Linked DNA regions of Ovis aries. The protein of the gene in region 1 binds, or shares a complex with, the protein of each later gene. Links are inferred from orthologs where the notes say so. Each region holds a gene or a part of one and is shown on either strand. Other genes may lie near its edges.

Region 1 (3,386 bases):
GCCCGGCCACAGCACAGGTCCTCGGGGCAGAGCCTGGTGTTCCCAGAGGGGTCTGTGCTTCTGGAATGACCCCCTCCCGGCCACGGTGGAAAGTCCATGGACACGTGTCTGACGCCAGCATCAGGGTCGGGGAGAATGTGTGGGACGTGGCCCCCTCCCGGCCACGGTGGAATGTCCATGGACACGTGTCTCAGTCCAGTGTGATGCTGGGGGTGCTCTCAGGGGAAGCTGAGCCCAATTTGTCCAGGCCCCCGTTGGGCCCACCTGACCCTGGGCCCCAGTTGGGCCTCAGCTCGGGAGCCCAGGGACACATGCCACGGCTGCCTGCGGAGACAGCCTCAGGCAGCTCCAGCGCACAGGTGGCCGGACCAGGCCCTGGCCACGGGGAGGAGGGTGGCCCCCAGGCCTCGCTGTCTGCTGAGGCTGTACCTGCTGCTCTGGGAGACAGCACCCCGGAGGAGCCAGGTCAGTGGGACCCAGAGCCGTCCTGCCCCTGGGGGCGTCTGTGAGCCCAGGACGGGGAGGACCAGTGGCGGGGGGCGGGGGCGGGTGTTTGGCCCTGACCCTCTCTCCTGCCCCATTTCTTCTGCTCAGGCCTGGGGATGAGTGAGGACTCCAGGGACCTCTCTCCCGGCTCACAGGTCAGGGGTTGGGGGGTGTGCTGGGCCTTTTGTGGGCAGGCACGGCTCTGTCCTGGGACTGGGCAGGGCGGGTGCGGTCTGCCTCCTGGTCCCTCCTCTCAGATGAGGGAAGGAGGCGGGTCCCTCGAGGCTGGGTTATCTTAGGAGGATGCAGACGTCCAGAGCAGCCCAGACCCTGGCGAGGCGGCAGCCCAGCTCTGGGACCGGGAACAGGCCTACCTGGCAGGCCTGGCGGGGCACTACCGCCTGGAGCAGTACCCGGACAGCTACGAGGCCATGTGTGAGTGGGCCGGCCACAGCGGGCAGGCGGGAGGCAGCCTGGCCCCGTGTCCCTGGGGCCTAACTGCAGTCTATCACCCCGCAGCGGAGCCTCCGGTGGCCCGCCTCCTGCACCACGGGCTTCCCCGAGCCTTCGCCCTCCCCGAGGACGCCCGGGTCCCGTCAGACGCAGACGAGAGCGCCGTGCAGCTGAGCGAGCTGCTGCCGCTGCCCGTGCTCATGAAGCACTCTGTTACCGCCCCGCTGGCTGCCCAGTGAGCACCGCCTGACCCTCTGCTCCCTCCCCGGCCCGGCCCCGCTCCCCCTGCCCCGCCCGGCTCCGCCCCGCGACGGTCAGTAACTCCAGGCCCCTCCCGCCAGCGTCTCCCTGGTGAACAAGGCCGTGGTCGACTACTTCTTCGTGGAGCTGAACCTCGGGGCGCACTTCGAGGCGCTAAGGCACTTCCTGCTGATGGAGGACGGAGAGTTCGCCCAGTCCCTCAGCGACCTGCTCTTCGAGAAGGTGAGCTCGGGCGGGCCAGGCGCCAGAGGGGCGGCGGGCAGGCTCTGGACGCTTTGGGACGCTGTGTCCTGTCCCTGCAGCTAGGGGCGGGCCAGACGCCCGGGGAGCTTCTCAGCCCCCTGGTGCTCAACTCGGTGCTGAGCAAGGCCCTGCAATACAGCCTGCACGGCGACAGCCCGCACGCTGCCAACCTCTCCTTCGCCCTCAAGTTCCTGCCCGAGACGTTCGCCCCCAACGCCCCGGACGTGCTGAGCTGCCTGGAGCTCAGGTACAAGGTCAGCAGCGCCCCCTGGCGCGGGCGGTGGGGGTGGTCCCGGGATGCAGCTGTACTGAGCCGGCCTCCCTGCCAGGTCGACTGGCCTCTCAACATCGTGGTCACCGAGGGCTGCCTGAGCAGGTACGGCGGCATCTTCTCCTTCCTGCTGCAGCTGAAGCTCATGATGTGGACGCTCAAGGACGTCTGCTTCCACCTCAAGCGCACAGGTGAGCCTGGGGGGCCCGAGGGGCCCAAGCCGCCCGCGGCGGCACTCACCCCTGCCCTCCCCGCTCCCCTCCTCAGCGCGGGTGAGCCAGGCGGCCGGCTCGGCGCAGTTCCGCCAGCTGCAGCTTTTCAAGCACGAGATGCAGCACTTCGTCAAGGTCACCCAGGGCTACATCGCCAACCAGATCCTGCACGTCAGCTGGTGCGAGTTCCAGGCCAGGCTGGCCTCGGTGGGCGACCTGGAGGAGATACAGCGCGCCCACGCCGAGTACCTGCACAAGGCGGTCTTCAGGTGAGCTGCGGCCTGCCCCCGCGCGGCCCTGGCTCGGGCGCACCCACTGCAGCCCCCGCCTCCCCCCAGGGGCCTGCTGACGGAGAAGGCGGCGCCGGTCATGAACGTCATCCACAGCGTCTTCAGCCTGGTCCTCAAGTTCCGCAGCCAGCTCATCTCCCAGCCCTGGGGCCCGGCCGGCGGCCCGCGCGGCCCCGAGCACCCCAACTTTGCCCTCATGCAGCAGTCCTACAGCGCCTTCAAGTACTACTCCCGCTTCCTCTTCAAAGGTGACGCCCCCCGGGGCGGGGGGAGGGCTGGGGCCGGGGCTACGCCGGCTCACTGAACCCGCCCCTTCCCCCGCCCCGCCCCTCGCAGTGGTGAGCAAGCTGGTGAACCGCGGCTACCAGCCCCACCTGGAGGACTTCCTGCTGCGAATCAACTTCAACAACTACTACCAGGACGCCTGAGCCCCGGCTCGGCCGCAATAAACGTGTACCCGCCCTCCAGCCTCTGTCTCCGGGGCGGGCGGGGGCGGGGCAACCACGCGGGGCCACTGAGGAGGCTGCCGGTTTATTGGGGGGCCGCGCCCCCCTCCACCCCCGCCAGGTGGGTGGGGGCCGCGTGGTGCGGGCGTGGGGCATGTCATGGGGAGCAGAGCCTGGGGCAGGGGTGGCGAGTCGGCGTCGGGTGGAGACGGGTCAGGTCCTGACTGGACGTCTCCGCCGTCACGGAGAGACGGGAGCGGGAGCCGCCTCGTGGACTCAAGGGCTCGGCCCCGGGGCCTCCTGCGCGGAGTCCCCAGGGCGGTTACGAGGATCACGTCACGCACAGCTCTGCCGCCCAGAGCGGGGGCTTGCTGCTGTAGGAGCGCCGCCGGCCGGCCGCCCCGCTGGTCTCTGCGGCCACCTCGCTGGCCTCCGCGGCCCCCTCGGGCTCGGCAGCCTCTGCCTCCCCGCCGTAAGGGGTCTCCAGCAGCTTCAGCACCCGCCGCACCTGCAGGGGGGTGGAGAGCGAGGGGGGCTGTTGGGGACCGGCCTCCTCCACAACGAGAAGCGCGCGGTCGGGGAGGTTGGCGGAGGGGGGGTGGGTGGGCTGGTGGTGGGGGAGGGGGGCAGGCGGCCCTTGCCTCCGAGAAGTCACCGTTCTCCGCAGCTTCAATGGCGCCCTGTGCAATGTAGTTCCTCAGCACGTACTTGGGGTTGTTGGCGC
Region 2 (3,948 bases), on another chromosome or scaffold:
CCATGGTTCACAGCAGGAAGCAGCTTCCCTTCACTTAAAGGTCTAGGTTCCAGGGCTTAGGCCCATCTTCCCATGTCCTTGGGGAATCACCTGCAGATGAGTCTGTCTCTGTAAGCAGTTTCCTCCTAGGGCAGAGAGAGATGGCACTATCAGAAGGAATGTATGTCTAGGGTCTTGCCAGAGCTGGCCTGACTGCCCATATGCTCCAAGTGGTCATCTGAGGTAGCACCAGCTTCAGGTCAGGAAGTCAAAACAGCCTGAAGGTGAGAGGCCATTCAAAGGCTGCATCTCTGGCCGACATCCAGGGCAGCCCGGAGAAGCAGCAAAGGATAAAAGTACTGTCTACTCTTCCGCCGCCCCCAAATCTGACCCATTGAGCTCCCCTAACCAGTGAGTTCGAACCATTTGGGAGACCTGGAGCTCGGAAGGTTCTAAAGGCAGGTCACCATTCTGCTGAAGGTAACAAAGCCTCTGTCCAGCGGGTAGCAAGCTGCTCTCCACTGTCCTTCCCCAGGCCCTCACAGCCCGCCCCGCTCCCTGAGACTCCACCACTACCAATTCCCACCCCAAACAAAAATCAAGTACTAAATACTGGGTCTCTGTTTTCCCTCACAGCAGAAGTAAGCGCTCAGTAAACATCCGGGAACTACTGACGGGAAACCTCGCGCATTGAGAGAAGTTGATTTTGGCTCCTGAAGCGAGGTCCGAGTGGGTTTGGGGAGAGTCACACTGAGTTGGTGGAGAGAGGAATTCCGAAGGGGCAGTAGTCATGGGTCTCCTGAGGACGAGTTCGGGTGGTGGGCAGGCGCTCCGAGGGCTGCGAGGTTCGCGAGCGCGGAGCTCAGGTCTAGGAGCGGCGGGTGCGGGGTTCCGGCCTCTTTGTTTTCGTTCCCTCCGGCCAGGTCACTCGGAGCCGTCATGAATCCCTCCGGAGGCCTCCGACCGGACTAAGGCGCCCTGAGAGCACCCTGTGGCCCACACCTGAGAGCTTCTCCCACTCAGGCTATCGCTCAACCCGCTCGCATCTCTGCCCACCGGCCAGCCTCACCCAGTCAGGGTCTGGCTCCAGCCCGGGCTCGCCAGCCTCCCAGTCCAGCTTCCAAACCGGAAGTCCGAGTGGGTGCCTCGGGAGCCAAAGGCGCATGCGCAAGGGCAGCTCCCGCGACTCTTGCGGGGCACCGGCTGCCGCCGGCGAGGGGGCCCAGCCGAGCGCGGCGCACTTCCGGGACGCGGCGCGCCGGCTGCTTTCCGTCCGGTCTCCCCTGCAGTTGTCTCGGCGGGTAAAGTCAGGAGGAACAGTGCGTCCCGGAGACCTGTGCGCGCATAGAGAAGGGAGCGCTCGCCTCCTTGGTCGCCAGCTGAGGCCCTGGAGGAGGGCGCGACGGATATAGGGACTCGAGGTCCGCCGTGGGAATGATCCACGAACTGCTCTTGGCTCTGAGCGGGTACCCAGGGTCCATTTTCACCTGGAACAAGCGGAGTGGCCTCCAGGTACTATCCGGCTCGGAGCGCGGGAACTGGCGAGCTCGGAATGGGTGGACCCGAGCCAGCGCTTGGGAGGAGGAGTCTGAGGGAGCAAGAAGGCGGGGCTGGCAAGGACCAAGGCGTGGGGGGCGTATCCCTGGACGGGTAACCTGAGGGCTGTGCCCTAGGGGCTTACGGATGGTTTAGACACCTGGAGAGGGTTGGGCCTAGGCGGAAAGCGAAGGGTGGATCCCTATTGGTTCTGCCTTAGGGGAGGAGGGAATCCCGGACCAGGCCTAAGGTTGAAAGTGTCTGGGCGAGAGTTGCTAGAGAACTAGATGTAAAACTGAGAGAGGCCCTTTCTCCCATCTTCATGCTTGCACAACGTTTTAAACTGAGTTTTGAAAGCTAGACCAAATACACAGTGCCTAATATACAAACAGTTCAGTTCAGTCGCTCAGTCATGTCCGACTCTTTGCGACCCCATGAATCGCAGCACGCCAGGCCTCCCTGTTCATCACCATCTCCCGGAATTCACTCAGACTCACGTCCATCGAGTCCGTGATACCATCCAGCCATCACATCCTCGGTCGTCCCCTTCTCCTCCTGCCCCCAATCCCTCCCAGCATCAGAGTCTTTTCCAATGAGTCAACTCTTCGCATGAGGTGGCCAAAGTACTGGAGTTTCAGCTTTAGCATCATTCCTTCCAAAGAAATCCCAGGGTTGATCTCCTTCAGAATGGACTGGTTGGATCTCCTTGCAGTCCAAGGGACTCTCAAGAGTCTTCTCCAACACCACAGTTCAAAAGCATCAATTCTTCGGCGCTCAGCCTTCTTCACAGTCCAACTCTCACATCCATACATGACCACAGGAAAAACCATAGCCTTGACTAGACGGACCTTAGTCAGCAAAGTAATGTCTCTGCTTTTGAATATACTATCTAGGTTGCTCATAACTTTTCTTCCAAGGAGTAAGTATCTTTTAATTTCATGGCTGCAGTCACCATCCGCAGTGATTTTGGAGCCCCAAAAAAATAAAGTCTGACACTGTTTCCACTGTTTCCCCATCTATTTCCCATGAAGTGATGGGACCAGATGCCATGATCTTCGTTTTCTGAATGTTGAGCTTTAAGCCAACTTTTTCACTCTCCTCTTTCACTTTCATCAAGAGGCTTTTTAGCTCCTCTTCACTTTCTGCCGTAAGAGTGGTGTCATCTGCATATCGGAAGTTATTGATATTTCTCCTGGCAATCTTGATTCCAGCTTGTGTTTCTTCCAGCCCAGCGTTTCTCATGATGTACTCTGCATATAACTTAAATAAGCAGGGTGACAATATACAGCCTTGACATATTACTTTTCCTATTTGGAACCAGTCTGTTGTTCCATGTCCAGTTCTAACTGTTGCTTCCTGACCTGCATACGGATTTCTCAGGAGGCAGGTCAGGTGGTCTGGTATTCCCATCTCTTTCAGAATTTTCCACAGTTTATTGTGATCCACACAATCAAAGGCTTTGGCATAGTCAATAAAGCAGAAATAGATGTTTTTTTCTGGAACTCTCTTGCTTTTTCCATGATCCAGCGGATGTTGGCAATTTGATCTCTGGTTCCTCTGCCTTTTCTAAAACCAGCTTGAACATCAGGGAGTTCGCGGTGCACGTATTGCTGAAGCCTGGCTTGGAGAATTTTGAGCATTACTTTACTAGCATGTGAGATGAGTGCAATTGTGCGGTAGTTTGAGCATTCTTTGCATTACCTTTCTTTGGAATAGGAATGAAAACTGACCTTTTCCAGTCCTATGGCCACTGCTGAGTTTTCCAAATTTGCTGGCATATTGAGTGCAGCACTTTCACAGCATCATCTTTCAGGATTTGAAACAGCTCAACTGGAATGCCATCACCTCCACTAGCTTTGTTTGCAGTGATGCTTTCTAAGGCCCACTTGACTTCACATTCCAAGATGTCTGGCTCTAGATTAGTGATCACATCATCATGATTATCTGGGTCGTGAAGATCTTTTTGTATAGTTCTTCCGTGTATTCTTGCCACCTCTTCTTAATATCTTCTGCTTCTGTTAGGTCCATATCATTTCTGTCCTTTATCGAGCCCATCTTTGCATGAAATGTTCCCTTGGTATCTCTAATTTTCTTGAAGAGATTTCTAGTCTTTCCCATTCTATTGTTTTCCTCTATTTCTTTGCATTGATCGCTGCAGAAGGCTTTCTTGCCTCTCCTTGCTATTCTTTGGAACTCTGCATTCAGATGCTTATATCTTTCCTTTTCTCCTTTGCTTTTCGCCTCTCTTCTTTTCACAGCTATTTGTAAGGCCTCCCTAGACAGTCATTTTGCTTTTTTGCATTTCTTTTCCATGGGGATGGTCTTGATCCCTGTCTCCTGTACAATGTCACGAACCTCATTCCATAGTTCATCAGGCACTCTATCAGATCTAGGCCCTTAAATCTATTTCTCACTTCCACTGTATAACCTTAA
Region 3 (4,300 bases), on another chromosome or scaffold:
GTGGGGGGCAAAGGAAATGAACAGGCAATTCCCAGGGGTCAGTAACAAGAGAAAATTGAATCAGCTTTGATTGTGATCCTAACTGGAAGTTACAGCTTTGAGTTATCTAGAGCTGACAAAAATGAAGATCTGATAACCCAAGTGTGGAACTGAGTATAGGGAAATGGAAATGCTATTGCTGGTTAAAAGTACAAGTTGGTACAACCATCTAGGAAAAAATATGCCAAACCTGGTAAAGTTGAAGCTGCACAAGCTCTTGGTAAATACTTTTCTTCAGGTTCACAAGTGGATAACTCCTGTAGGCATTTGATGTAACACCAAATAAGTGGAAACAATCAAATCACCCCTGTGTGGAAATAGAATAAACTGTTTTTATCCATCCAATTAAATACTATAAAACAGTTAAAAGGAACAAAATGAATCTACATGTATCAACATAGCTAAATCACTAAAGCTAAAGTAGGGTGAAAATAGCAAGATACAAAAGAATATTACACTCATACCATTTATGTAAAATTTCAAAATAAAAAATATATAGTAAAAAATCAAAATCATGCTTGCATGTTTAAAACTTTTTAAATTTTAAAATAAAATAGAAACCAAAATGAGATATCACCTCACATTCATTTAGATGGCCTATTTGTTTTGTTTTTTTTAAAGTAACAAGTGTTGATAAAGATGTGGAGAAACTGGAACTCATGTGCATTGCTGTGGGAATGTGAAATGGTGCAGCGACTGTGAGAAATAGTATGGCAAGTCCTCAAATAAAGGAAACACAATCCTGCCATGATCTAGCAATTCTGATTCTGGGCATATACCCAGAATTGAAAGTAGGCACTCAAACAAGATATTCTACACCCATGTTCATTAGCAGTATTAAGTAGAAGCACGGCAGTGTCCATTGACAGATGGACTGATAAAACACAAAACGTGGTATATGCATACCATGGAATATTATATAGCCTTAACAAGGAATAAAAGTATGATACATGCTGTAACATGGAGTAACCTTGATAACATTACCTAAGTGAAACAAGCCAGACACAAAAGGACAAATACTGTGTTATCCCACTTGTATGAGGCACTTAGTCAAATTCACTGAGACGGAAAGCAGAATGGTGATAAGGGCGAGGTTACTGTTCAACAGGTAAGAGCTTGGGAAGGTGCCAAAGTTCTGTAGGTGACCGCTGGAGACCGTTACAGAACAATGTACATGTACTTAACCTCACAAAATTGTAATTTAAAATGGTTAAAATGGTAAATTTTGTTGGATACATATAACTTAAAAATAGAAATTTAAAAGACGAAAATTGGCTTGAATTCAGCCCCTCTACCTATCAGAGCAGGCAGAGCCGCTCACCTACCTATAAGGCAGAGCGCCGGTGATTCCAGACACCTGGACGTCCCCTCCCTCACTTCCCTTCCCCCACACTCGGTCCCGGCGCGTCTCACTGCGCAGGCGCAGAGCTGGGGCGGGTGGGCAGGAGGGGGCGTGGCCTCACTCCGCGCCTGTGCGGAATTCCAGCTGCAACTGCTGTGGGGGAAAATGATGCCCAGGTTGGGCTCCCGGGCCGCCGGCCGAGAGGAGGCCCGCACTGCACACGCGCAGACCGAGCATCCGCGTCAAAAGCAGAAGAGAGCGCGCGCTCCCCACGTCCTGCGCGCCCAGCTGCCAAGCATTCGTCCCCGCCGTGACTCCTGCCCGGCCTGGCCAGGCTGGCGCGGCCTCATCTGAAGAGCGATGCCCCGGGAGATCATCACCCTGCAGCTGGGCCAGTGCGGCAACCAGAGTGAGCGAACGAGAGCCGGGCCCAGCTAGTCTCCGGTTCTGCCCCTTCGGGTCCCACCCGAGTGCTTGGCATCCTCCAACACCACCACCCCACCCCCGCCCCGCTTCCGTTCCATAACCCCCCTGCCCTACTGCGCATGATGACACCCAGCACGAGAGACATGCCTCTAACCCTGAGCTGTCACGTCGCCCAGATCCGGGCGTCTTGGGCCCACCCTGGAATGTGTGACAGTGTCTGAGCCTCACCCTGGGCTCCCAAGCCCTCTGCTAGAGGGCTTTAGCAGACCCAGGCGTCTCTCCCCATCCCCCAGTTGGGTTCGAGTTCTGGAAACAGCTGTGCGCCGAGCATGGTATCAGCCCCGAGGGCATCGTGGAGGAGTTCGCCACCGAGGGCACTGATCGCAAGGACGTCTTTTTCTACCAGGTGCCCCCAGCGACTTAGCCAGGGTTGGCAATGGCCCACGAGGCCTGAAGGGAAGGGCTTGGGTACTGGGAAACCCACTGGGCAGAGGAGCCAGGGCGGCTGGTTTGAAGGAGGAGGGCAGGCAGGAGCCAGAGTTGGGAGGACTGGAGGACTGGGCAGGCCCGAGCTGATTGGGCCCCTTCTGGACTCCTCTTGACAGGCCGACGATGAGCACTACATCCCGAGGGCAGTGCTGCTGGACCTGGAGCCCAGGGTGATCCACTCCATCCTCAACTCCCCCTATGCCAAACTCTACAACCCAGAGAACATATACCTGTCAGAGCATGGAGGAGGAGCTGGCAACAACTGGGCCAGCGGATTCTCCCAGGTATCCAGGTGGCCATCCGGGAGATTCTTGATGTTCCCTTCCTGGGGTAAGGCAAGCACAAGCAGTCTGGTGATTAGACCATACTGACAGTGAGAGACAGGGGACTACCCTGATAAGAGGGACAGACATAGAGAAGTTTATGCAAAGTAGCATTTCTGGGGTGAGGGCCACAGTCGGGGCTCTGCTTGAGGTGTCAGCAGTGTCCCAAGGTAGAGTTACTGGTGCCGAAAGGAGATGCTCTCCAGAAACGTCATCCTCACGTCTCTATAGGTGTCTCCTCCCTCCTCATCTCTCTATACAGGGTGAGAAAATCCATGAAGATATCTTTGACATCATAGACCGAGAAGCAGATGGAAGTGACAGCCTAGAGGTGAGGTTCTGCCCCTTTAGGGGAGAGGAGGGAGGAAGCTGAGAAGTGCTGGGGGAAGTCAGGAGGTTGCCTCCCTGGTCGCTCAGATGATAAGGAATCAGCCTGCAATGCAGGAGACCCAGGTTCAAATCCCTGGGTCGTGAAGATCCCCTGGAGAAAGGAATGGTAACCCACTCCATTATTGTTGCCTGGAGAATTCCATGGACAAAGGAGCCTGATGGGCTACTGTCCATGGGGTCACAAAGAGCCTGATCAGATGTGTGATGGGGGCAATTTAATTCATAACTCTTGAGTATCAGATGTGAGATGGTGAAGTAAATAAGGTTCAGTTTGTGTCCTCAAGAAGATCCTAATCTGGATGGCATCAGCTCCTTCCTTCTCAAGGAGCCTCACACTGGATGGATATAGAAGAAACCCTGAGACTTGAGAGGGTTGGGAGTGGGACATGAGACAAGCCAGAAGCCTCTCCCCCAGATCCCTGGAGACTGCTTCTCCATTCCTTCCCCTGCAGGGCTTTGTGCTGTGTCATTCCATCGCTGGGGGGACCGGTTCTGGCCTGGGCTCCTACCTCTTGGAGCGATTGAATGACAGGTAAGCCTGTGTTTGGGAAGAGAGCATTAGCTCTGTTTCCCTGGGTAATGTCTTTTCTTTTGTCACTTTTTCTTTTGGCTGAAAGCCCTATTACTACTGCCCTTGAGTTACAAGTAGGAACAGAGCCTGGCCTCCCAGGGAACATCTTGGAAGCAATAACTCCCAGGAAGCAGAGGGTCTGCATAGCTGGGGGAGAGGACCTAGGAGGGAGGGAGGTTTGATGCTTCAGGTTTATCTTTTTTGGCTTCTGGGCTCTAAAGACTCCATTCTGCCCTCACTCCTTTTGTGTAAGACCTTGGTGGCACTTGGAAAGGAACGGCCCCTGTTATTCCTGGAGAAGACAAAGAGGGGCAGTGATGAGAGTCCTTCCAAGTCACTCTGCTACCTGCCCGTTTCCCTCTTCCTCACCCCCAGGTACCCCAAGAAGCTGGTACAGACATACTCAGTGTTTCCCAACCAGGACGAGATGAGCGATGTGGTGGTCCAGCCCTACAACTCACTGCTCACACTCAAGAGGCTGACCCAGAACGCTGACTGTGTGGTGAGCATGGGAGGAGGAAGTGGGGCCTTTGGCCTACCTCCCCAAACCAGTGAGACACCTACACTCTGCCCTTCCCAAGCCCTTGCCCAGAGAACAGACAACCAACAAAGCCATACTTGGTGGCCCAAAGTATGAAATAAGAACCTGACCCCAAGCTTCTCATAGTCCCTTTAGGTAGCAGGACTCTCAACAAAGTAACACCCCCCTCCCACATGTCT
Region 4 (4,133 bases), on another chromosome or scaffold:
AACATGAATATACTTCTTTTATCACAAGCCTGAGACACAGTGGATTTTATGTCAATTTCCAGCAGATGGTGATTCTAGTCGGTGGACAATAGTAAAATAGAATGAATGTCTAAATGTTAATAGAATCAGGCTGACAATAATCAGATTAGAAACAGCAGAGATTTCACAATATAGCATACCTTGAATTCCTTTATGCTTGGAAGCGATGCATTTAGAAATTCTTCAGTTAATCTCTTCCAACTGGCAGCTTTGCTTAGATCGGAATGAATAATGAATTTTTCATAAATCCTAGAATGTTAAAAAAAATCAACTAACAACTAAAAAGCTGTATTAATAAAAAGGTCTGTAAGATACATAGATATCTGAACATGCACATATATACATATGTATATATATATACATATAAACTGACTTACCCTTCTATTGTCTTTTGTACTTTGTGGCTATTGACATCTAAGAAACGATGAAATCTAAAAGAGAAAATGTGATTCTTATATCAATCGTGTCATAAAGCTAAGTTGACTAGTCTCACGGTCCAACACATTGCCCCCCAAACACACTATACTCAGTTATGTGTTTCCAGTGAGTGCACCTCTCTCCCTGTATCACCTCTGTCATTCATGCAAACAACCAGTCAACCTAAGACTGCTCAAGCATCCTTTCCTTATGACACAGATTGTCTTGAGTTTCCCAACTCTGTCCTCTGGCTCCTCTCTCTTTCCATAATGCCCTGTGTGTAAGTCCAGCACAGCACATCCCTGTTAGCAGGGTTTCCTAAACTTTTTATGCCATTGTGAAGGCCTATGAATCCTAGGGATCCCGTCTCAGGATAAAATGAAACAGAAAGGAAGCCAAGCATACTGAAATACACTTTTGAAATATTTTTTGAAGTCTGTGATATAGTCTGTGATGTTTTTGTTAAAACATTAAATAACAAGATCTAGAAGTGGGTTCATAACTACATGCAACAGTAAATAAGATTTATTAGAAATATCTGCAGTAATTACAATATGACAGTGAAATATGTGATTTCTACTGGTGACACAGTACATAAGCTATTACTTCTTGTTGCTTTCACTCATAATTGAAGGAAATGCTACTTTTCAGCTAGAGATTAGTATAATTTTCTTCTTGTCCAAATCTGTTATATCTGAATTCTACTATTAATATATTCAGACCCTCAGGTTAAGAAGTTCTGTTCTACATCATATGTAATAATTTTTATCTGTCTTATTTAAGAATAGTCGCTGTATTGCACCTGTCTGTGAATTTCTAAGGCCTAGAATGTGGCCTCAATTTTTAAAAATATAAATATGAATTGTTCATTTTTCTGATGGATTAAAGCATCACAAAATTACAATATAGCTCACTCAACTCTTGTTTTCCATCTTTTAGTGGAAACCACACAACCTGTACCTAAAAGAAGTAAATTACACTACTAATTAAAATATCTAATTCTAACCTAGCAAATGGCTGAATGGAATACCATTTTACCTATAAATTTAGTTTCTCAATGTGTAAAAGGCGTTAGTAACTGCTAAGCTCTCCTAACTCTAAAATGATGTCTGCTTACCTACTGTCATTTAGACATACTAACAGAAAAATTATTTGGGATAGAACATTTAAGTTTCTCTTAATATGACCTATTCTCTGAATATCACCTATTAAGGAATTGTTATACTTATGTTACACTTAAGAATTGAGTATTTTATTTCAAAAACGGGGCCGTTTAGACTCTATTCTTATTATAAACCAAGTGGGCACTTTATGTGTGATCATTAAGGTTGATAAAAAGATTACCGATTTCAAAAAACTGTTTACCATTCAAGAAGACTTCTTTCGACATTAGGCAGAAGATTAACAATGACTACCATTCTTCTAATAAAAATTTTATTACAGGTAATGATCATAACTGATTTACATGTCCCATAAGGGAAAATTATACCACTGATTTCACCTAAGTACCTAATCTGAATAAATCTTTTAAAATTAATTAAATAAAAAACCGTATTAAAAGTTGCACTGGACCTCGCATACTCTATGCCAAGAACTGTTTTAGGCGCTGGGATAAGAAATAAACAGAACAAACGAAGATCCCTACTTTGGTGGAGCTTATATACTGCATGACGGTGGGGGTGGAGACAAACAATAACAACAAATGAGTTATCCAATGTGTTATGCTTCGCGTTTTGGAAAAAAAGAGCAGGGTAAGAAATACGGAGTGGTCCGAGCAGAGAGGGAGTCAGTGAGAATAGGGTGTGACCATTACTTTGCTCTAAAATTTTACTCAACCAACCACTCAAAAAATTGATGGGCAGGGGCCCGCGCTAAGCGCAGTGGGCGGAGCAGGGAACCGGATTGCCAGAACTCTTCACTAGGAGAAAGATCGGAGGACGACCCCCAGCAACCCACAACCCATTGACTGAGCTAGGCCTGGCGTGTCCCAGTCCACGGAATAGCAAAGAGTCGAACCCGACTGAGCGACTGAACTGATCACCGCCTCGGGCATCCAGAATGCACGAAGGCACTAAGCTGCTGGAGCGGCAAAGCGCGCCGGGACTCTGCCGGTCGTGCAACACAACTCGCCAGACCCCTTCCCTTCCCCGGCTGCGATGCCGCGTCCACACCTGAAGTTGGACCAGGCGAAGTGCAAAGCGAGCTGGAAGTTGGGGTCCGCTTCGTCCTGGACGCCCGCCACAAGGCGAACGAGCTCGCGCACGTCGCGCTCTTGTCGTCTATCCAGCCGACTCCAGGACGGCGGCAGGGACGCCATACCTCCCGCGCTCCCGCCGTCCTTCGCGAGGTTGCGCCAGCTCTCGCGCGAGTTCGAGCTGCGGCCGCGTTGCGCGTCTCCCTCGCGAGAGTTCGCGCTGCAGTCACGTTGAGCCTTGGGTCTGGTTCTGGTCGGTGGCAGGGTTGTGAGTGTCGTCAAAGGAGAAGCAGTTATTATTAAATTTATTAATAATAGTCTTTGACTGACTTTGGTTGATGGTCTAACGCCTGTGTTTCAAGAACAGCCACTTCTCATTCAGTGTATCGGTTTGCACAGTTTTTAGCTACCACCCTTCGTCAGTTATCCATCATTCAGTTTCTCCTAGAGGTGATATCCAGTGGTCTTTGGATTCCGCTCTGCCTACATGGGCCGCACTACGTGGCACACACTACAGCAGATGTAAAGAAAGCGCGTTGTCTCGCACACAGACTGAGCGCCTTGCCTCCTGCGACTCCCAGTGGGCCAAGGAGGACTTATTAAACAACACTGGCCGAAAGTGGAGTAGTGCTTTTGTTGTTGTTTGTAATTAAAACTGTACTTTTAAACTGTTTATGTAAAGGATTGCTCATAACCATTACAAGACTTGTTGCATAAAACGTTTAACTTTTTTTTCTTTTAGGGATCTACTAGGTTTTCATGTGGTTTGTTACATTGCATCGCTCCAGCTGTTTGGGCTGTCATAACAAAATACCATAGACTGGATGGCTTGAAAACAACAGAAGTTTATTTCTCATAGTTCTGCAGGCAGCAATTTGAGATCCACGTGCCAGCATGATTGAGTGAGGGCCCTCTTCCTGGAATCAGAATTCTGGTTGTGTTTTCACATGATGAAACGGGCAAGGGAACTCGCTGGGGTCTCTTACTAGGGCACTCATTCCATTCTCAAGACCTCCACCATCCTTTTCTAAACACCTCTCAAATACCAGAATGTTGGGCATTAAGATGTCAAATTATTAATTTTGAGGGTGCACAAACACCCAGACTATAGCAACTACCTAAAACATAGACTGCACACAACTGAATAAATCCCATAAGAAGGGGGAAATCATAGGAGTAGAAATGATTCCGTGAAGAAATTTATACCTTCTCCCTGGGGCAATCTTTTCTACTCCAGTCTCAACTATCATCTGTGTGTTTATAACTCTCAGATTTGCATATGCAACCCACATTTTTCTTAGCACTCCAAATCTAAAATTGCTTATTGTACACTTCCAGAAATGAACATACACACTTAGCATGTGTCTCTCCTGACTCCCTATCGAGCCAGTTGGTCTTGACCTCTGGAGGGAGACCTAGAAAACATTCCATAGGGTGCTCCCAATGACTTAGACCCAGTAGGGACTGAGCTACTCTCACACAC

The links.
Region 2: the proteins of TUBGCP6 (region 1) and TUBGCP4 are in contact, whole or in part, in a cryo-EM structure (PDB 7QJE), measured with the Homo sapiens proteins. The link is inferred for Ovis aries from reciprocal best matches to the Homo sapiens genes TUBGCP6 and TUBGCP4. Residues at the interface, in NP_065194.3 of Homo sapiens: Leu312, Thr313, Ala315, Gly316, Arg317, Ala319, Phe320, Phe323, Leu326, His327, Glu349, Pro390, Glu391, Ser392, Ser395, Leu396, Glu399, Tyr403, Ser455, Leu456, Leu457, Thr458, Gly460, Phe461, Lys464, Lys465, Arg468, Arg471, Tyr472, Glu475; in NP_001273343.1 of Homo sapiens: Met1, Ile2, His3, Glu4, Leu6, Leu7, Ser10, Gly11, Tyr12, Pro13, Gly14, Ser15, Ile16, Gln29, Phe31, Pro32, Phe33, Leu34, His35, Pro36, Glu38, Thr56, Ile59, Glu60, Thr63, Val66, Gln67, Gln68, Ile84, Arg87.
Region 3: TUBGCP6 (region 1) and tubulin gamma-2 chain share a complex: the UniProt entries of both Homo sapiens proteins name them as parts of the gamma-tubulin ring complex. The link is inferred for Ovis aries from reciprocal best matches to the Homo sapiens genes TUBGCP6 and TUBG2.
Region 4: the proteins of TUBGCP6 (region 1) and TUBGCP5 are in contact, whole or in part, in a cryo-EM structure (PDB 7QJE), measured with the Homo sapiens proteins. The link is inferred for Ovis aries from reciprocal best matches to the Homo sapiens genes TUBGCP6 and TUBGCP5. Residues at the interface, in NP_065194.3 of Homo sapiens: Glu290, Ala291, Ser292, Lys293, Arg294, Arg295, Cys296, Trp297, Glu298, Arg299, Val300, Gly301, Cys302, Pro303, Pro304, His306, Arg307, Glu308, Glu309, Pro310, Tyr311, Leu312, Glu314, Lys322, Arg325, Leu326; in NP_443135.3 of Homo sapiens: Asp211, Asp212, Arg213, Trp215, Leu216, His219, Val220, Val221, His222, Trp225, Ser230, Phe232, Pro233, His234, Leu238, His239, Ser240, Asn241, Leu242, Leu264, Val265, Thr266, Glu267, Thr268, Gln269, Arg272, Val302, Thr303, His304, Leu305.

The regions. Positions count from the first base shown.
Region 1 is NC_056056.1:225,510,461-225,513,846, reverse strand, and holds the end of TUBGCP6 (gamma-tubulin complex component 6), read left to right. Parts: coding exon 1-465; intron 466-594; coding exon 595-641; intron 642-785; coding exon 786-921; intron 922-1,005; coding exon 1,006-1,174; intron 1,175-1,280; coding exon 1,281-1,422; intron 1,423-1,502; coding exon 1,503-1,697; intron 1,698-1,772; coding exon 1,773-1,905; intron 1,906-1,981; coding exon 1,982-2,195; intron 2,196-2,264; coding exon 2,265-2,438; coding exon of another isoform or gene 2,439-2,464; intron 2,465-2,552; coding exon 2,553-2,886; downstream 2,887-3,386. UniProt on the Homo sapiens protein: Component of the gamma-tubulin ring complex (gTuRC) which mediates microtubule nucleation.
Region 2 is NC_056071.1:52,949,387-52,953,334, forward strand, and holds the start of TUBGCP4 (gamma-tubulin complex component 4), read left to right. Parts: upstream 1-1,148; 5' UTR 1,149-1,413; coding exon 1,414-1,491; intron 1,492-3,948. Other genes in the region: ZSCAN29 (zinc finger and SCAN domain-containing protein 29), read right to left, coding at 1-4. UniProt on the Homo sapiens protein: Component of the gamma-tubulin ring complex (gTuRC) which mediates microtubule nucleation.
Region 3 is NC_056064.1:42,455,142-42,459,441, forward strand, and holds the start of tubulin gamma-2 chain, read left to right. Parts: upstream 1-1,500; 5' UTR 1,501-1,741; coding exon 1,742-1,790; intron 1,791-2,100; coding exon 2,101-2,213; intron 2,214-2,412; coding exon 2,413-2,580; intron 2,581-2,881; coding exon 2,882-2,950; intron 2,951-3,461; coding exon 3,462-3,541; intron 3,542-3,607; exon of another isoform or gene 3,608-3,955; coding exon 3,956-4,082; exon of another isoform or gene 4,083-4,300. UniProt on the Homo sapiens protein: Tubulin is the major constituent of microtubules, protein filaments consisting of alpha- and beta-tubulin heterodimers. Gamma-tubulin is a key component of the gamma-tubulin ring complex (gTuRC) which mediates microtubule nucleation.
Region 4 is NC_056055.1:114,155,483-114,159,615, forward strand, and holds the start of TUBGCP5 (gamma-tubulin complex component 5), read right to left. Parts: upstream 2,801-4,133; 5' UTR 2,774-2,800; coding exon 2,628-2,773; intron 471-2,627; coding exon 417-470; intron 289-416; coding exon 180-288; intron 1-179. UniProt on the Homo sapiens protein: Component of the gamma-tubulin ring complex (gTuRC) which mediates microtubule nucleation.